Lonchura striata: one gene and its partner. The protein of the gene in region 2 interacts with the protein of the main gene of each other region in a biochemical or structural test. Links are inferred from orthologs where the notes say so. Each region holds a gene or a part of one and is shown on either strand. Other genes may lie near its edges.

What was found.
Region 1: the proteins of TJP2 (region 2) and OCLN form a complex in vitro, tested with the Homo sapiens proteins (3 studies listed by BioGRID). The link is inferred for Lonchura striata from reciprocal best matches to the Homo sapiens genes TJP2 and OCLN.

What each region holds. Positions count from the first base shown.
Region 1 is NC_134630.1:7,829,057-7,839,169, forward strand, and holds the start of OCLN (occludin), read right to left. Parts: upstream 4,704-10,113; coding exon 3,996-4,703; intron 2,462-3,995; coding exon 2,303-2,461; intron 499-2,302; coding exon 340-498; intron 1-339. Other genes in the region: KCNN1 (small conductance calcium-activated potassium channel protein 1), read right to left, coding at 5,504-6,025, 6,145-6,391, 8,017-8,274, 9,953-10,086. UniProt on the Homo sapiens protein: May play a role in the formation and regulation of the tight junction (TJ) paracellular permeability barrier.
Region 2 is NC_134642.1:23,551,122-23,561,348, forward strand, and holds the start of TJP2 (tight junction protein 2), read right to left. Parts: upstream 4,003-10,227; 5' UTR 3,926-4,002; intron 1-3,925. UniProt on the Homo sapiens protein: Plays a role in tight junctions and adherens junctions. Acts as a positive regulator of RANKL-induced osteoclast differentiation, potentially via mediating downstream transcriptional activity.

The DNA of each region.
Region 1 (10,113 bases), on a different chromosome or scaffold from region 2:
CCCGACTCCTCCCCTTATTTCCCGAACCCCCCGTCCTTTTCCCATCCCCTCCCCACATTTCCCGACCCCTCCCACATTTCCCTAATTTTCCCGACCCCTTCCCACATTCCCCACCCCTTTCCTGCCCCTTCCCACTTTTTCCACCCCTTTCCTGACCCCTCTCCAAATTTCCCAACTCCCCCATCCTTTTCCCGACCCCTCCTCTCATTTCCCTCCCTCTTTTGCCCCTTCCCCACTTTTTCCACCCCTTTCCTGCCCCTTCCCCAAATTTCCCACCCTTTTCCTCCCTTTTCTCCCCCTTCCCCACCCCTTTTCCCGACCCCTCCCCACATTCCCCACCCCTTTTCCCCCTCCCCACCTTTTCCAGCCCTTCTGGGGGGGGTCGCTGTACGCGGGGGGGCTGTAGGGTGGGGCTGGCCCGGGGGTCTCGCCCTTCTCCGAGTACGCGACCGTGGCGGCCTCGTCTGGAACGCTCGTCCCGCCCGACACGTTCTTCACCTGGAGAACGGGTTGGGATTTGGGATTTCGGGAGGAAAAACTCAGCCGGGATAAAGGAGAAATCGGCGAGAAACGCCCCGAGAAAAGTCCCTGAGAATTGCACCGAAATTCCCAGAGAAATCCCTGAAAGTTCCCTGAAAATCCACCAAGAAATCCCTGAGAATTCCCTGAAAAATCTGACAGAAAATCCATAGGAAACAGAGGTTTTTGTCCCACCTGGAGTCCCCCAAATCCTTCAGGCACATCCCCAAAAATCCCAAAACCCAGAAACCCCAAAAACTCCAGAAACCCCCAAAACCAAAACCACCAAAAAAAACCAATACAAAAAAAACAACAAAAAACCCACCACCAAAAAAACAACAAACCCAGAAACCCCAAAAAACCCAAAAGGCCAAAAGCCCAAAACCCCCGTGAAGAAACTGGGACAAAGGGACAAAGGGACAAAGGGACAAAGGGACAAAGGGACAAAGGGACAAAGGACGAAGGGACGAGGGGACAAAGGGACAGAGCTCGGGGTTGGTGGCACCCTCAGGGTGGCACCCAGCAGGTTCGGGGTGGCCCCGCAGAGGGACAAGGGACGTCCGGCTGTCCCCTGTCCCCTTCCGTCCGGCCCTTTGTGGGTTGTTTGTGCCGGACGCCGGTCCCCGCCGGCTTGGTGGCCTTGGGGACATCCGGCCGGACACGCCACTTCCTCCCCCGTCCCCTCCCGGGGGCCGCCAGGTGTGTCCCCAAGCCGTGGTGGCATCTGGGGACTCAGATGTCCCAAAAGGGGGTGACACCCCAAAAAAGCGCGGGGGAGGTGGCAGGCGGGGGTGTTATCTGCGGGTGGCACCTGCGGGTGGTGGCGTGTCCCCAAAAGGGACGGGAAATGTTCATCCAGGGAGGGGCCTGGAGCAAATAAACCCAAAGGAACCCAAACAAACGGGGCGAGAGCACAATGGGAAAGAAAATAAATCAGATTAAATCACCAAAAAATCCAATCAAATCAAAAGCGACGCAGGGAGCGCGGCCCCAGGGAAACCGGGATGGGAGTGGTGGCACGGGGACACAGGGGACAGGGGTGGGGACAGGGACAGGACTGGGGGCAGGGATGGTGACACAGGACAGGGATGGGGACACAGGGGACAGGGATGGGGACAGGGGTGGGGACAGGGATGGGGACACAGGGGACAGGGGTGGGGACACAGGGGAGAGGGACAGGGATGGGGACAGGGGTGGGGACACAGGGATGGGGACAGGGATGGGGACACAGGACAGGGATGGTGACACAGGAGACAGGGATGGGGACACAGGGGACAGGGAATGGGGACAGGAACAGGAATGGGGACACGGGACAGGGATGGTGACATGGGACAGGGACAGGGCTGTCCCCTAAGCCACTGTCCCAAGCCTTCCCGCGGGAGCGCTGTGACATTCCCACCCCGCCCCGGGCCAGCCCAGCAGGTGACACAAGCCCGGGATGTCCCCAAGGTCCCCGTCCCGGTGCCACCACTCCGGCTTTTCCCGGTGCCACCTCCCGGTTAATCATTGGCCAGACCGAAACCGCGCGCGGCGCCCCGCGGTGTCACCTGGCAGTGTCCCCAAGCCCTCTTGGAGTCCCCAAACTCCCCCCGAAGTCCCCAAAATGCCCCTAAAATCCCCAAATCCCCCTAAATCCACTCCCGGTGCCCCCAAATCCCCCAAACTTCCCTTTGCACCCATCCCAAACTTGGGGATTTCCAGCCCCGCTGGAAAAGGGGCGGGAAGGACCCCCCGGATCCCATTCCCAGCATTCCCCAAACCCCCCAAATCCCCAAAATCTCACCCACTCCTCCACGTCGGGGCCCTGGCGGCCGGCCGGGAGGCGATCCCAATAAATGTTGTGTTTTCCGTACTTCCAGATCTTGCTGCGGGTTTTGTGCGCGAAGAGGCAGATGAGGCACAGCAGCAGCACCATCAGGAAGCCGCAGGCGATGGCCACGGCCTGGGAATGCGGGAGTCGGGAATTCCGGGAATTCCGGGAATTCGGGATTTGGGGGTTCTGGCGCCGCTGCTCTCAGCCCGGGAGTCCCCGCCGCAGGGGATGAGCCCGATCCCAAAGATTCTCTCTGTGCTTCCCAAATCCTAAACCTTCCCGAATCCCAAACATTCCCAAACCCCAAACCTTCCTGAATCCCAAATCCCAAACCTTTCCCTGTCCTTCCCAAATCTCTAATTTGGGATTTGAAAAGTTTTGGAATTCAGAAAGGACGGGAAATGAAGGTTTGGGATTTGGGAAGGATGGGGATTTGAGAAGGACAGGGAAGATTTGGGATTCAGGAAGGTTTAGGATTTGGGAAAGTCTGGGATTGAGGAGGGTTTGGGATTTAGAAAGGCCATGGAAAGTTTTGGGGTTTGGGAAGGATGGGCAGGATCTGGGGGCCCCCGGTGCCAGCCCCGGGCCCCCATCCAGAGCCGGCCCCATCCCCGTTCCGGCCCCATCCCGAGCCGGTCCCGGGCGGCCCCGGGCGCTCCCGGTCCCACCGGCCGGGCTGGAAGCGCCGCATTCCAGTTCCAGCCCCGCCGGGGGGAGCGGCCCCGGCGGGCCCGGCCAGGGACGGGACCGGGACCGGGACCTGAACCGAGACCGGGACCGGGATGGAAAGCGGGATCGGGATCCCGGGAATGATTTGGGATCGCTGCAGTTTGGGGCTGGCGCGGGGAAGAGCGGGGGTGGGGGGGTGAGCGAGGGGGCGGGGCTGATTCCTGAATCCCAGTTTTTTTCTCTGTCCTACCCAAGTTCCTGAATCTCAAACCCCAAACCCCAAACCTGTTCCCCTCTGGTAGTCCCCATCCCCATCCCGGTAGTTCCCCTCCCGGTAGTCCCTGTCCCCTCCCGGTAGTCCCCATCCCCATCCCGGTGGTCCCCATCCCCTCCAGTAGTCCCCATCCCCTCCGGTAGTCCCCATCCCGGTAGTTCCCCTCCCGGTGGTCCCCATCCCCTCCAGTAGTCCCCATCCCCTCCCGGTAAGTCCCCGTCCCCTCCCGGTAGTCCCCATCCCCTCCGGTAGTCCCCATCCCCTCCGGTAGTCCCCATCCCCTCCGGTAGTCCCCATCCCCTCCAGTAGTCCCCATCCCCTCCGGTAGTCCCCATCCCCTCCGGTAAGTCCCCGTCCCCTCCCGGTAGTCCCCCTCCCGGTAGTCCCCATCCCCATCCCGGTAGTCCCCATCCCCTCCGGTAGTCCCCGTCCCCTCCCGGCGGTCCCCATCCCCTGCGGTTGTCCCCATCCTCTCCCGGTAGTCCCCATCCTCATCCCGGTAGTCCCCATCCCTTCCCGGTAAATCCCTGTCCCCTCCCGGTAATCGCCATCCCGGTGGTCCCCATCCCATCCCGGTGGTCCCCATCCCCTCCCGGTAGTCCCCTCCCGGTGGTCCCCGTCCCCTCCCGGTGGTCCCCGTCCCCTCCCGGCGGTCCCCTCCCGGTGGTCCCCGTCCCCTCCCGGCGGTCCCCCTCCCGGTGGCCCGCTGGCCCCGCTCACCTCCTGCGGGTCCACGGTGCAGTAGTGGTACAGGTACTGGTTGAGCACGGCGCCGCCGGCGTACACCTGGTTGCACATGGCTAGCAGCGGGCTGTAGTAGTAGCCGCCGCTCATCTGCGCCTGCGGGTTGACCCCCACCACGTAGACGATGCTGGCCACCAGCACGAGCAGGGCCAGCACGGCGCTCACCACCGTGACCGCCAGGTAAAAGCGGCGCGACCGCGACCCGCTGGACTTGCTCAGGCTGGCTACCAAGAGCCCCAGCTGGGCGAGGAAGCAGAGCACGGCCGCGGCGATCATGAAGCCGTTGGCCGCCCGCGGGCTGGCGGCGCCGTAGCCGTAGTAGCCGCCGTAGCCGTAGCCGTAGCCCAGCCCGCCGCCGTAGTAGCCCGAGCCGTAGTAGCCGCCCGGGCCGGCGGCCAGCGCGCCGCCGTAGCCGTAGCCGTAGTCCCAGGCCAGCGTGGAGGCCACGCAGGCGAACACGGCCACGCAGAGCAGCAGCACCGCGGCCGCCAGCAGCCGCACCAGCCCCGGCGGCGAGCACCAGCGGTAGAAATGCTGCGGGGCGTCCTCCGCGTAGTAGGAGCCCGGCGGCGGCGAGCGGGCCCCGAAGTCGTAGCCGTAGTCGCCCGCGGGTGGCCCGTAGGAGGTGGCCGGGGGTGGCCCGTAGCCGCCGGCGGGGCCGTCGGAGAGTTTCTTGGGGAACATCCCTGCGGGGGACGAGGGGACAGAGCCGCTCGCGGAGGGTTTTGTCACGGTTTTGGCACCCGCGGAGGGTGGCAAGGGAAGGACTTTGGTCCCTTTGTCGCCGTCGCCGCCCAGCCGGAGTTACCGCGGGGAAACTGAGGCAGGGAGTCGCCACCCGGAGTGGGAGTCGCCAAAAAGGCTTGGAGGTCCCACAAAAACAAACGAACAAACCTGGGAAATTTCCCACAAAAGAACCCTGGAGTCCCCCACAAAAAAAACCACATGGAGACCCCACAAAAAGATCTTGGAGCTCCCACAAAAAAACCTTGGAGACCCCACAAAAAAAACCTTGGAGACCCCACAAAAAACACCTGGAAAAACGCCCCCCAAAAGTGTCTCGGAGACCACCCCCAAAAAAGCCTCGGAGCACGCCCATAAAAAACCTTGGAGACCCCAGGAACAAATCCGGAGACCCTCCCTCCCAAAAAAAAAAAAACAAACCTGGAGACACCTCCCCACAAAAACCTTGGAGACGCCCCAGAAGTTCCATGGGGAAACTGAGGCACGGAGTCACCGCGGGTTTACGTGGGTAAACTGAGGCACGGTGAGTCACCAGCCGGTGCCACCCCAGCCACGCCGGACTCTCGGTGTCACCTCCCTGTCCCCACAGCCCGGAGGTGGCAGGGAATTAATCGGGATTTTTGGAATTCCCGAATGGGAAGCGGCGGGGGGTTGAGGGGGGCCGAGCTGATCCCGGATTAAAAATCGAAATAATCGCAATAAAAAATCAAAATAATTCCAAACCACGACAATTCCGGAGGTCACGTGAGGCAGAGCCGCGAGGAAAATTTGGGGGGGGGTCTTAAAATCAGCAAAATGAACGTGGGGCCCCCCGCGGGACACGCAGAGACCCCCAAAAATCCCCAGAGCCCCGCGGGAAAGGCGAATTCCTGAGGGAAAGGCAAAGCGGGCGCCCGCTCCGGTGGTACCGGGGCTCGGGGGCAGTTCTGGGGCTGCCCAAGGGTCCCGTTCCCGATCCCGTCGATCCGCAATGCCCCGGTCCCGGCTGGATCCCCCGGTTTGACCCCACCGGGGACCCCCGGGACCCGCAGCGGCGACCGGAGCCGGCGGGGACGGGACCGGAGGCTCGGGGGTCCCGGCCCGCTGTGGGGACACGGGAGGAGCCGCGGGGCCGGCTCCGGTACCGGGGGGAGCACGGAGGGGAGCTCGGCGGTGTCGGGGAGCCCGGTACCGGTACGGAGCCGGTACCCCGGTACCGCTCTGGAGTCCGGTACCGCTGCGGAGCCGGTGGGGACCCGGTACCGCTTTGGAATCCGGTACCGCTGCGGAGCCGGTGGGGACCCGGTACCGCTTTGGAATCCGGTGGCGGGGACCCGGGTGCCGGTGAGGAGTCGGTACCGCTCTGGAGCCCCGTGGCCGGTTCCGGTGCGGCCCGCGGTACCGGAGAGAAGCCCGGCGGGGCCCCCGGTGCCTCGGGGAAGGAGGAACCCGCCCGTTCCCAGCGGGGAACGGAGACCCCCGGCGCTCCCTCCCGCTCCGGTACCGCCGTCTCCCCGCGCTGCCGGTGCCGGTGCCGGTACCGGGAGCTGCCGGTACCGCGGAGCCGCTCACCTGCCGCCTCCTCCGCCGCTTTGTTCACCTTAAAATGGCAGCCGGGAGCGGCGGAGGCGGCGGCGGCGGCGGCGGCGCTGCGGGACCGGCCCCGGGTCCCGCCCCCGGGGAGGCGGGGGAAGCACCGGGCACGGAGGGGTTAAAAAACGGGGCGGGGCAGCAGCGGGGGAGCCCCGGGGAGGTTTGGGGGGAAAAGGGGAAATTGGGGGAAAAAGGGGAAATTGGGGAAAAGGGGAAATTGGGGGGAAAAGGGGAAATTGGGGGAAAAAGGGGAAATTGGGGGGGAAAGGGGAAATTGGGGGGAAAAAGGGGAAATTCGGGGGAAAAGGGGAAATTCGGGGGGAAAAGGGGAAATTGGGGGGAAAAAGGGGAAATTGGGGAGGGAAGGGGAAAATTGGGGGAAAAATGGGAAATTGGGGGGGAAAAGGGGAAATTGGGGGAAAAAGGGGAAATTGGGGGAAAAAGGGGAAATTGGGGAGGAAAGGGGAAATTGGGGGAAAAGTGGAAATTCGGGGGGAAAAGGGGAAATTGGGGGGAAAAGGGGAAATTGGGGGAAAAGGGGAAATTGGGGGAAAAAGGGGAAATTGGGGAGGAAAGGGGAAATTGGGGGAAAAGGGGAGATTCGGGGAAAAGGGGAAATTGGGGAGGAAAGGGGAAATTGGGGGGAAAAGGGGAAATTGGGGGGAAAAGGGGAAATTGGGGGGAAAAGGGGAAATTGGGGTCAGGAGAGTCCCCAAAGGGCGGGGGGGCAGCTCCGGGTCGGGCCGACCCCCCCCAAAAACAAACCGTGCAGACGTTTTTGTGTTAATTACCAAACATAATTAATGAATTAAGTAATGTTGAATTACTGCAGCTCCCGCGGGGGGAGGGGGCACAAAGGTGGCGGGGCCTCCCCAAAAACCCCGAACCGAGGGGTGGGGGTGGCTCGGGGGGTGTCCCCGACTGTCCCCGGCTCTCTCCGGATGTCCCCGATTGTCGCGGCTCCGCTGGCCCGGGAACGGGATGGATCGTCCGGCGGCGGTGACGCCTCTGGGGACAGCTGGGGACATCTCTGAGGACAGCTGGGGACACCTTTGGGGACACCTTTGGGGACAGCTGGGGACACCTGGGGACGCCTTTGGGGACACCTGGGGACAGCTGGGGACGCCTCTGGGGACACCTTTGGGGACACCTTTGGGGACACCTGGGGACAGCTGGGGACACCTGGGGACACTTGGGGACACCTGGGGACACCTCTGGGGACACCTGGGGACACCTTTGGGGACACTTTTGGGGACACAACCTCCGGCCATGGTGACACCTCTGGGGACATCTGGGGACACCTGGGGACGACTTTGGGGACATCTGGGGACACCTGGGGACACCTCTGGGGACACCTGGGGACACCTTTGGGGACACCTCTGGGGACACCTGGGGACACCTGGGGACACCTTTGGGGACACCTCTGGGGACATCTGGGGACGCCTTTGGGGACACCTTTGGGGACATCTGGGGACACCTGGGGACACCTCTGGGGACACCTCTGGGGACACCTTTGGGGACACCTTTGGGGACATCTGGGGACGCCTTTGGGGACACCTTTGGGGACACCTTTGGCTGGGAAACAGCCACGGGTGACGCTCAGGGACCCCGTGTCCCCTCCTGTCCCCCTGCCAGCCCCGGGGGACAATGGCCACTGTCCCCTCCCCGCCACCGCCCTCACCTGCCCGTCGCATGGGGAGGGGACACACGCGACCCCCGGGCACAGCGCGATGTCCCCCGGCTGCTCCCCGGTGCCACCGGCGGTGCCACCAGCGGTGCCACCAGCGGTGCCACCAGAGGTGCCACCAGCGGTGTCACCGGTGCCACCGGCGGTGCCACCGCCGCCGGGCACCGCGCGTTAATCATTGACAGCCTCAGTTTCCCCCGATTGTCGCACGGGGCCACCACCTCCCCACCCCCCTGAGCGTTCCCAACGCTTCTGGGGCCGCGGGGCCCCAAAAAGGGTCAGGGGTCCCCCAAAATCCGCCCCGAAACCTCAAAAATCCCCCCAAATCTGTTCCAAACCCCCAAAAATCCCCCCAAATCTGCTCCAAAACCTCAAAACCCCCCAAATGCACTCCAAAACCTCAAAAATCCCCCCGAACCCCCTAAATTCTCTTCCAAATCACAATAATCCCCCCAAATCCTTAAAAGTCCCCCCAAATCTCCCCAAATCCACCCCCAAAATCCTAAAAATCTCCCCAAATCCCCTAAAATCCTCCCCAACACCCCAAAAATCCCTACAAAACCGCTCCAAAATTTCCTCCAAACCACCCTAAAATGCCCCAAATCCCCCCAAAGCCCCCCAAATCCCCCCAGACCCTCCAGGTCAAGCAGAGAGCGACACGTCCAGTTCAGGCTCCTTTAATTTGCGCCTCAGCCCCCCCCAAAACTGCCCCAAAAAACTCCAAATTCCCCCAAACCCCCCCAGCTCCGCGGGTGGAGCAGAACCGGACCCGGGGGGGGTCCAGGGCTGTGGGGAGGGGTCCTGACCCACCCCGGGGGTCGGGGATGGGCTCAGTATTGCATCCAGGGGTGCCCCCCCAAACCCACCCACCCCCATTTTCCAGCTGGGGGAAACTGAGGCACAGAGAGGTGACGTCTCCAAGGTCACTTTGGGGGCGGAGCCAGGAATGGAGAAACCCTCCCCCCCCCAAAAATACACCCCCACCCCCATTTTGGGGGTCACCACGGGGGTCTCTCTTTCCCCCTCCCCCCCTCCGAGCCCCCCCACCCAGTCCCCAAATTTTAGACCCACCCCCCCAAAACCGCTCAGGGCTCCTGGATTGTCCCCCCCGTCCCCTCCCCTCTCCCAGCCCCCCCCCAAAAAAGCTCAGCTCGGCTCCCCTTGTTTGGGGGGTGCCGGGGGTTCCCGGGGGGTCCGAGGGGATCTGGGGGGGCCCTGGGGGGGTTTTGGGGGGCCCAGCACAGTGAACGCAGGAGGTTTTTATACGGAGCTTTCCAGAACAAAGCTACGGGCACGGCCACACGATGGCCAGAGATAAACACGGGGACCCCCGCACCCCGAAACCGGGAGGCACGAAGGGCTCTGAGACCCCCCCAAACCCCAAAACCGGGGGGCACAAAGGGCTCTGAGACCCCCCCCGCACCCCGAAACCGGGGGGCACAAAGGGCTCTGCGACCCCCCCAAACCCCAAAACCGGGGGGCACAAAGGGCTCTGAGACCCCCCCCAAACCCCAAAACCGGGGGGCACAAAGGGCTCTGCGACCCCCCCCCCGCACCCCAAAACCGGGGGGCACAAAGGGCTCTGCGACCCCCCCGCACCCCGAAACTGCCCTCACAGCGTGGGGGGACACAAAGGGGTCTGGGGGTGTCCCCAACCTCCCCCCCCCCCATTATGCACAGCCCAAAGTTGGGGGGGGTGACAGAGGGGACATTGGGGTGTCCCCAAATTGGGGTGTCCCCACACTGGGGTGTCCCCACACTGGGGTGTCCCCGCATTGGGGTGTCCCCACACTGGGGTGTCCCCACCTTGGGGTGTCCCCACGCCCCCTCGCTGTCCCGTGAGGTGGCAGAGGTGGCACAGAGGGACCCCCGTGTCCCCCCCTCATCCCCAGCCGCTGTCCCAGGTGACGGAAGGGGACACGGGGGTGACCCCAGCGCCCCGCGGCCGCTGCCCGAGGTGACACGAGGGGACAAACGGTGCCCCCCGGTGCCGCCGGTGCCGCCGGTGCCGCCGGTGCCGCCGGTGCCGCCGCCGCTCAGCCGCTGTCCGAGGCGGGCCGGGGGCTGTCGGGGGCGGCGCGGGGGTCGCGG
Region 2 (10,227 bases):
ATCTGAACAGAGATGCCAGTTGTGCTCTTGTTTTTAAGCAAGTGTTCATGATCCTGTCATGAGAGACACTGTAGAAGTTTCTAAAAATACCATGTTGTCAAACAGCCTTTCCCCCTTCCCTTCCAGGCAATCTCTTTAGACAGCCATTTGTCATCAGCCTGCAAAATCACACAAATCAGTCAGCCCAGTCCTACTTAAATGATTCATAAATCCAATTACGTTCGCTTCTTTATATAGTAAGCTGGGCACTAACAGATTCAACCTTCAGGATTAGAGGATGTGTAGGTAGCTGACCTCTGACTCTAAGGAACTGCTCAGGAGCTCCATACATATGGTTCAAACATGCAGCTCTACACTGGAGTTGTCACAGATATGGCACAGTAATCCTAATCTCTGTCTTGGAGGGACTGGAGAAGACACCTTACATACTATCTCAACACTTGCTACCATGTGTAGAAGTGAGTCCAAAGGAGGGTCAGCAAGATGATGGGGGCTGAAGCACTGACCCTGCAAGAGGCAGCTGTGGCAGCTGGGATTTTTAGCTTGGAGGAAGGGTGGACACTCAGCAGCAGCCCATTGGTGCTGATAGAAAGGATTGAAGAGATGAGGCCAGGTTCCTAGCAGTAGTGCAAGGTGGGTAAGAGACAACGGGCCAAAGTTCAAACAAGACAGGTTCAGATGTCCATAAAGGGAAACAATTTTCCCCACGAGGACAGGCAAACCATGGACCCACTGCAGACAAGTTGTAGTCTCTGTCCTTGGAGGTTTTCAAACCCAACTGGGTGAAGCCCCAGGCAACTTGTTCTGATCTCACAGATGACCCTGTTTTGGGCACGAGGTTGCACAAGAAACCTCCTGAGGTCCCTTTCCACCTGAATTATCCTATCATTCCGGAGTTACTGCATGATTCAAGTGCCAGCTTAAAGCAGAACGAGGCAATTATTATCCTGCCCCTTGTCTCCACTTCCAAAGTACAGCTTGTGATTATGCAACATAACAATTTTGGCATGCAGCTGCAGGGTCTGGTCTGTTGTCTGTCTCTGATGTAGTGCAAGGATGAACAGCTATACACACTTTCCAAGTCTCAAAGCAGCAATACTAATGCTGTTATTTTAGAAAGTATAGATGTCCCAGGAAGAAACACAGCCCAACACACACAGCATCTCACACTTTGTACATATTTTTATGGCATAATCACACTGTCAAATCCTTTGTCACTTACGAGGCCACCTATTATGATGTTTTCAAGAGCAGAATATTGTAAATTTTTTAAACCTAGACACTGAGATTTCCTGAGACATCTCAAACTGCTAAAAAATTTAAAATATATAATTATTTAGAGCAAGAGGCAGCACTGTTCTAAGCCAATCACAAACTCAATTTTTAAGTTCACAAAAAGATTTGAAACGCACTGTTATATGCTGAAGAACTAGGAACAGCACTGGCCATTAAATGAGATACACATATATTTTCTTTTTTAAAACATATAAATATATATTAAATGTAATGTATATTTTCCTCACTGTGTTGGACAGTCATCAGTTCTACCAGATCTCACACATTACAAGTTTGCTGTGCTTTACATCAGAAGATTGTTTGCTTTGTTTGTTGCTACTTTGCTTTTGCAAAGAATATGGCAATTAGAAAACACAGATGTACAGCATATTCATAGGATAGATAAAACAGCATGAGAATATGCAGAGGTGTTTGGTAACAGTTAATAAAAATTATAGTTGTGAGAAAAAGAAATACAGTCTATTTTTTCTAACCACATTTTCATCTGAGCAACATTTTAATTACACTACAGTTCCTTGAAAATTACCCTAGTAAGGCAAGCAAATGAAATAGTTTGACATACTGCTAGAGGCAAGCAGGGTCTTAACAGTGACTCTGCTTGAATACACTATCCCCCTGCATCCCCTCCTCTACAGACTATGCAAATTGAAACAACTTTTCTTGGCAAAAGCACTTCAACCTCTACTACTTTAAGAAGCTACAAAAACTAAAACCGTTATTCTAAAGAATGAAATAACAATGCAGTGTAAACCAATCCAAATCACACAAGTGTGTGCTGTTTTCCTCTCCAGACACCATAACAAAAGTGTATATCAACACTTGAAAGGAAATCTCTTCCCAACCGCAAATTTTCCTTTTTAACTGCAGACACATTCTGTTTGAACATTCATTTTGCTTACGTCTCATTTCCTTCCTCTCTTCCCTATGTTTCTTGACTACTGGCAAGGATGTGAATAAATCCTCTGCTTTTAGCTATTTATCTGCCTCTCCCCATTAGAAGTCAAGCCCTACAACATCAAAGCTTTACCATAGTAATCAACTGTTATGGCTCCAAATTAATTAAGACAACACAATAAAGAAAACAAAAATCCCATTCTCGTGGATAACATTATTCTTATTAAAAACAAGCAAAAGAATATGCAGATTACACAAGATGTAACATACACAAAGATGTGTTACTTTTTTTCTTGATATAGGGGTTAATTTAAAAAACAAAACTCCAGACAGCAGTTCTTCAGCCAAGTTAATTCTTTAGAGCACAAAATCTATGCTTCAAAGCTCTGCCTCTTCCCATCCTATTTATACTGGCAAACCTCCTGCTGACGAGCTTATTAAGAAACAAAGCAGTTCTGCAGCCCTATTCAGAAACAGCAAGGTCCCAGCTAGGGTAATGCCCACTTTTGGGTGATGTTTTTCACAAATGACTAAAGTGAGCTGGCAATAGTCCAAAAGAGAACAGCAAGAACAATAAGGGGGAAAGCAGATGAACACAGCCATCCTGTCATTCACTTGCCAGTTCCACAACTCCTAGAAGCCCACAGATAAAGCAGCTGGATGCACCTTCTGAGCCATCTTGTCCTTGTTGATAAATGGTTCTGGAATTTCTTTTGCTAAGAGTTGAGCTCCCAACTATCCACAGTCCCTGATGTAAAGCTGGCATACCCTACCACTGAAGGTTTTTGTTTTGAGGAAAATGTCAGAGGCTGCTCAAAACCTCAGCAGAGACATTCCTGCCTAGCTACATTTCACTGATATTCTTCTATCAAATTTTCCCTCACTGCCAGAAAATTAAACAGGGAACTAGCTTTGGTTAAGTATGTCACAAATTAGAAAGTCAAAACAGCAGATATGCACATTTTTAAGTAAATTACTAAAGCAGCAATAGCTGCTTCATCTCAGAAATGGAAGTCAGTTATAGTTTTGTAAAATATCAGCATAAAAATCTTTCCCTCTCTTAAAATCATCATCTGTTAATCACTTACAAAAGCAAGCCAAGCACGTTTGATCAACACATAAAACTAAGGATGCATTTTATAGTCCTTCTGGAAGCACTTGAGAAATGGTTTCAAAAGGTTAATATGCCAAAAGGATTATATTTACCTTAATGATGTACTGTAAGAAAATATGCAGCAAAACAACTCTCCCTGTGTGGCTATTCTGTTTCCTAGGACTGGCTTGAGTCACTAAGCAACTCCCATGAATATTACCCTTTGTGCTTAAAAGTAATTTATTTATCCCCAAGTCCATGCTAAATATTTATATTTGCTGAAGACATCATCATAGATTACATCCATTCTTTACCAGTGTTTAGCTAACAGATGAACTAGTACAGGCCTGTGCATTATTATTTGCATAACTTTAGCAGAATATTGACTTCATTGGAGAAACCTCTTCTCCTCTGGAGGCCTGTTGTACATCATCAAGTTCACAGCAAATGCGCATATAACCAATTAAAATTTCTTTGATAATTCAAAAGAACTAGTTTTAATTTCACATTACTCTACTAAGTACAATTTCTTGAAACCTTATAAAAACATAGCTAAAAGAATATACACCTCAGCGATCACATGACAAGAATACACAATTTTAAATTAATGGCTAAGTCTAACTGATGCAACTTGACTGGTACCTTGGGAGGAGTGACAATTTTTGAGTGCCGTTGTCTACCTGCTGCGCTATGCTTTGGGCTTGATGTACAGCTGTGCTCCCAGTCCCACTCACAAGGAGATGGCAGCGCAGTAGTTTGCTCCCTGAAAAACAAGGTTTCGTTTAAGTCCATATAACCAAAAAGGAGTGCTTGTGAAGCCTGGAACATTGAAATCCTAGAGATAAAAGAAGATACAAAATATATTTCCCTGCTTATTTTGACATGCTTTAGCTTCCTGGGAAATCACTTGGAAGTAGTGATTGAAAAAAAGGAGATACTCAGAAATATTTACACCAAGCCTACACGCAAAGCAATGCATGCATTTTTGCCAATGAAATAGGGTATTGACAGGAAGCATACTTATAGTTACTTCGTTGCACTGGTTCTCTCCACAATCCATCTGGCTTTTTGTTTCAATTTAGTTTTGGTCTGATTGTTTAGCTTGCACAAGGCTGTACACAGGAAAGCTGTGTACAGTAACAGCATTGTATCTTGAGCATAACCTCAGTGAGAACAATCAGATACATGTGCTCCAGTGACATCAGATGGTAACTCAAGAACTTCAGTTGCCAAATTATAGAAAGAAAACAATTTCCAGTGTAATCTTCTATCCTCCTTCCCCTGCTCAGTAGGCTTCATCTACCCTTCTTGGGCACAAGTAGCATGTTAGCTTCCATTCAGCATCCCGGTCACGGGGCTCCCCCTCTCCCTGACCCCTTGTCTAGTCCTTGATTACCCTCGGTAGGAAAAGAGAAAATGAATGGTTTTACTAAGATAAAGAAGGAACTTTTGACAGAAATAGAAACACAAGCTAGCAGTTAGGGTTTGATGGTGGCTTTTGTTTTGTTTTTAAAAGAAAACCAACGTGCAACTCAGTAATTTCAATTCTTCTTTCCAAAACATCTTTCCAAGTGCTCAATTTCCAAAGAAGGATATAGCCAGACTTCCCTAGGAAAGTATATTAGTTATTTTTTCATCAGGCTTGAATTTGTTTGCCTGTTTCCATGCCCCACCCTCCCTGCCCCTCACAATGTATAGATGTTTTTTCATTATGGTTAATACTCAATTAGGCGTTTCTAGATCACTTGAGAGACATAAGAGATACTGAAAGAATTCTGCATAACTTCCCCACTGTATACAAGTCTGGCCCAAGTTTTGATGTGTCTTGTGTGTGACATCCACTTTTTCCTAAGCACAAAAGTAATGAGGTCACAGGTTCAAAAAAGCAAAATTAAAATATCTAAAATTAAAAAAAATAAAGCTGTTTCAGATTAACTTTTTACAACACGCAACAATGTGTGTTGTAAAGACATCACACCTCAAAACTAGAAGGTTATTTTGTCTTTTTTTCCCATGCTCTTCCAGCATAAAAGTATCTTTCTAAGTAAACTACAGTTTTAAATCAAGGCAGGATTTTTGAAGTTGCAGTAGAAAAAGATGCTTAACATGAGTTTATATGACCACCAAAGAGCAGCACAAGCTATACTGTGCACTCAAAACAAACTTCAGCCTTTCTAGGCTGTGCACAAAATACTATTCTGGAGGCTGCAGAAAAGTCACACAGACAAGCTAAGCCTAACTACCATTCCTACCACCATTTTACCTTTGTCAAACTTCATAAAAATCAATCTGTCACAGAAATCACATCACATCACATCAAGCAAAGACGGAAGTAGAAAAACTTAACTTTGTAATGTCTTTGATAAGAAAATATAAATTAATACCTCAGCAAAATAATGTATGTGCCTTTCCTGCTTTCTTTTGCACAGTAGTCTGGGTTTTTAAGCAGAATTCTTACAACTTTCAAGCAATGGCTCGAGCCATCACACTCCAGATGACCTGGCATCACACTCCAGTGCTATTTTTTATCTTAAGAGATGTTTAAGAAATATAAAGTGCTCAATTATGCACCTGCATTTGTGCAGTGAGGAGCTGACAAATAAGGACTCTATACCCTTTATTCAGTATTAGGTTTTGGACAGCATCTCATTATGTTACATATTTTTCCTATACACACACACTCACACTTTTATCACATTTCATTTTTACAAAGAATATAACAGAGTACCTCTAGAAGTTGATAAGCTGATCTTAGCAAAGTGCATTATTAATGTGTTTATTCCAGTCATACAGAATAAGCAATATGCAGCTACAAAAAGAACAGGTTTTTTTTTTTGTCAACTCGATTTCCTTCTACTCAATTGCTGGTTACCAACCTTTTGTTCCCTGAAAGTTCTAATAGAAACATAAAAGGGATCCCTATTACAGTCCAATGACAACAGCTTTTCCGAAACTGTTGGAATGGCAATCCAAACATAATTGGAATATATCTTAACCAGCTTGAAATTCCAAGTGTGTACAACAATCACATTAACTAAACCTCTCCCTTGATTCAAGCTGTGACTCTAGCCAGAGTAACCTACTTAAAAACAAAGAAGAATTCTACAAGAATATATATACAGGAACTTTCCAACACAGTTCCTCAAAATAGTAGGAGAAATCAGCTAACATTTTATTAATGTATAAAGAGCAGCTGTAAAAATCAGAGATTTGCATGTATATAATTTATATGGAACAACCAAAGGAAGTCACAGTACAGCATACTCCGCTGTCCTGAATCCAAATAGACTGCACTGAGAATCCCTTTTATTGGGCAAGTTTTTAACAAAAAGTGCTACAAGCACTCATTAACATGACACTGGAAATTTAGAACCAACATGAAGAACACTTTTGTTAATAAAAAGACACAAAACCATTTCTATCAGTGTATTTTCTAGACCAGTTTTTATGGTTCTGGTGATAGATCTGAAAGAAAAAGATAGTGATTTATTGCTTTTACTGTTGCTGCCACCATTAAAGAAAGCAAAATTGTGGAGAAATTATAAGATAAATCTGAATGCAGTTATAGTCAAACAGCCACAATTATAATCCAAGTTTTTCTTTGAAGCCTTGTTTACACAGAACCAATAGGAACATGCTAATTGGTCTTGGACAAAAGCCACTCATATTTTGCACTCCTCTGCAATGTCTGAAACAAGGTGACAACATTCTAATGTATTACAAAAATACAAGAGATCAGAAGGACTCTAAAGACACCCATCCATCCATGCTACTCATACAGGGGCAGGTGGAAGAGAGTGACAACTCTGTTTTCCACACAACATATGTTTTTGGTGGAAACAGTTACATACACAAAGATTTTTCTGAAGCTTAATACTTAAGTGTATGGTACAAGAAAGCACTCCGAATTGTTTTTAACAACAATCAGAAAAGTCTTCTTGTAGGGAAACAGTATTCCTAAGTATTATGAACTCTTCCTCCTAAGCAGAGAAGTAAAGTTGCCTGCAAAGAAAAAAGTGATTTTTCTTTTCCCATTTTAGGAACTGCTTCTCTGACAGATAAAAATTAAAATATGTATATTTTAAATGAGGAGAGGGGAAACACAGACATACATCAAGTTAGTAGCAAGCAAAAAATACAAAATAGCCATTTCATTTCTGTTCTGATGAGTATACATGTATTTATTGTTCCTGTTCTTCAGCAAACTCGTAATTTAGAAATAACACCTTCTTCTAGTTATTTCTCTAGTCAAGGACTGGTAGTACACAGAAATCTCTAATGAAACCACTAAGTTCAACCACAACTACTGAAGATACAAAACTTGGACAGTACAAAAAAAGATCACCTGTTTTATTAATAACTCTCCTCTTTCTGATAACAAGTTTTAAAAATGCATGATTCAAGGTGAGCACAGTTTTTCCCATAGTTACTCACTAATTGCTTTTTAACACTTACCCTGGATGTTGCCACAGATTTGCATGTCTACCCTCAGGAAGCAGCTCCCTCTTGTTAAGGGGAGTAACACCTATTGCTGCTTCTAAAATAGTTATGTATTTCTTGTATCGCATCCTGCCTGTCTCAAGACTTCCACCACACTAAGTTATCATCCAAATGCAGATGCTGCAACTGAAGCCATGCCTCTTCACTGATTTGAAATGCTGCTTTTTAAAACATGCTGCCACTTTGAAGCACAAAAACAATGCTTTTTCTCCTCTCCCAGGCTAGAATAGTTAGCAGAAGAGAGAGAGAAACCAAAGAAAAACTCCTACCAGATTCCCCAGAAACGTCATTGTTACGTAATTCAATCTTTGAATAAGACACTAATGAAAATGATTGAAGAGACAATCACGGTTCTAAGCCTGGCCGGATAATGCACACTCTACAATTGACTAATCCTTTGCTAAATCTCTGCTGTCTATAATCTTTCAACTGCTAATGGAGCACTAGGTAACTTCTCTGTCAAATCCATCCAGGGAATAAAAGAGATCTGCACAGAAATCTTGAGACCATTTTAGACAGTGACAGCCAAAAATAGCTTTTGCCTTAACTTTTCTCACCAGAAAGCACCAGAGCACCAGAAAGCTCTCTATGTTAGAAGTGTCACAAGGGATTTAGCTGATCTACTCAGAAAAGGCATGGAGAAATATTTCCTTACATGGCTTGTGCAGAATTAAGAAAGATATAGACTCCCATTATGATACCTTCCAGTCATTCAAATGTGGCTCCCAATGATGCCAGAAGCCACATCCCATGTCAGAATTGCTCTAGCCATGAGGTAAGGAACTGCGTGTGCCGAAGACATCAGGTATGAACTACAACACTGGAGACAGTGTTGAAAGAAGTAACGGTGACATTTTAGAAACACTCTAGTACTGTCAAATTGCAATATTCAAAGAGATGTACTTGATTGCAAAGCTAATCAAGGAAATGTTGATGTAATGCTTCTTAGTAAGAAATGAATGCATTTATATATATATATATATATATATAGATAAAGGTATATATAACACATAGTTACATATATAAGTTGCATAATATATAAATATTATGCACTTAGGCAGTAATAGAGATAAAAACATAGAAAGAAGAGATGTGACAGAAAGACTGAAGCCTAGAACCACAACTTCCTCTATAAACTGTGCATATTACTTATTTCCTGGTCCTATTAGGCATGTGTGTATTTCTGTTGAGGTGATATCATATTACATGTTACTTATTTAGAAATTAAGATGATTTCTTGTGCTGTAAAATATTTAGCTCTTAATAACAACATTTGTATAACTATTTCCAGATTCTACATTACTTACAATCCTGCATTAGCCATATTTGGTGTTTAATATCCAATCACATTTGTAGGCTATTTTAGCACATGCACGCACTGAACTATCTCAAGTAATTACTAAAGAAATCCATGTGACTGATCTTATAAGAGCAAAATAAAATCAAGCATCTTTTAGATTCAGAGACTAGCACTACAATTGTCAGAGGAACATGCTGATAAGGAGTATGTAGTCTGAAATGTAGTGATATGTTAAAAAAATAATTAATATATTAAAAGCACATGAATTAAATTAAGCAAAAAATTACTTTTCCGTGTGCAAAAAAAAAATCACTTAACTACAACTTTAAACATCTGTATACAAAGCATTAAGAAGCTTAGGAAAGCAGAGTAGTACTAGGAGCCTAGCAAGCACAGCTAACGTCATTAAGCCTGCAGGCATCCTGACTTCTGATAGATCTTTGGTAGATCTACCATAAAGGTTGTACTGAGAAAGAAAAGACAAGACAAGTGAGCAGTTTTTGACAATTCCAGTACTTAAGGATCTCCTGACTGTAGAAGTTCATGACAGTTATATTTTACTCAAAAGCAGAAACACTTCTTTAAACTTTCCCCTTACAGATCAAAGAAATAGTTCTTTAAAAAACCTTCCCACAGGAGTTTTCAAAGCCAGTCCTATGCAAAGTCTGAAAGTATTAAGTGCAGCTCTAGCCCATCTTCTGTCCCTTTGTGCAAAGCATATTAATTCTGACCAGAAAAGGAGCCCCATGACTAGTGTTGCATACAGGGAAGCCAAGCCCACACAATAAACACAAGTTACACCCAAGTACTGCTTTCGTTTAAATGGCATGTGAAACCTCCAGGTATCCAGAGGGAGAGAGGCTGACTCACAGTTAATCAACTTCCTTCAACTTTATTTAGAAACAGAAATTCAAAGCTGCTAGTACGCAGACTGTTACTGAAGAATGACTTTGTAGAGCAAACAAAAAGTCTAAAACAGACTGTCCTCCATTGTTTCCTGCTGGAGAATTATTGTCCACTCCACTTTTTCTGTCTTTGTATTTTTTCAAGAAGAACAGAAACCCAAGTTTTTTTGGAAAGAAACAGCACAATTTTCCTGACTGAGAGCACACAAGTAATGCCTCGGAAAATATAATGCATTTCT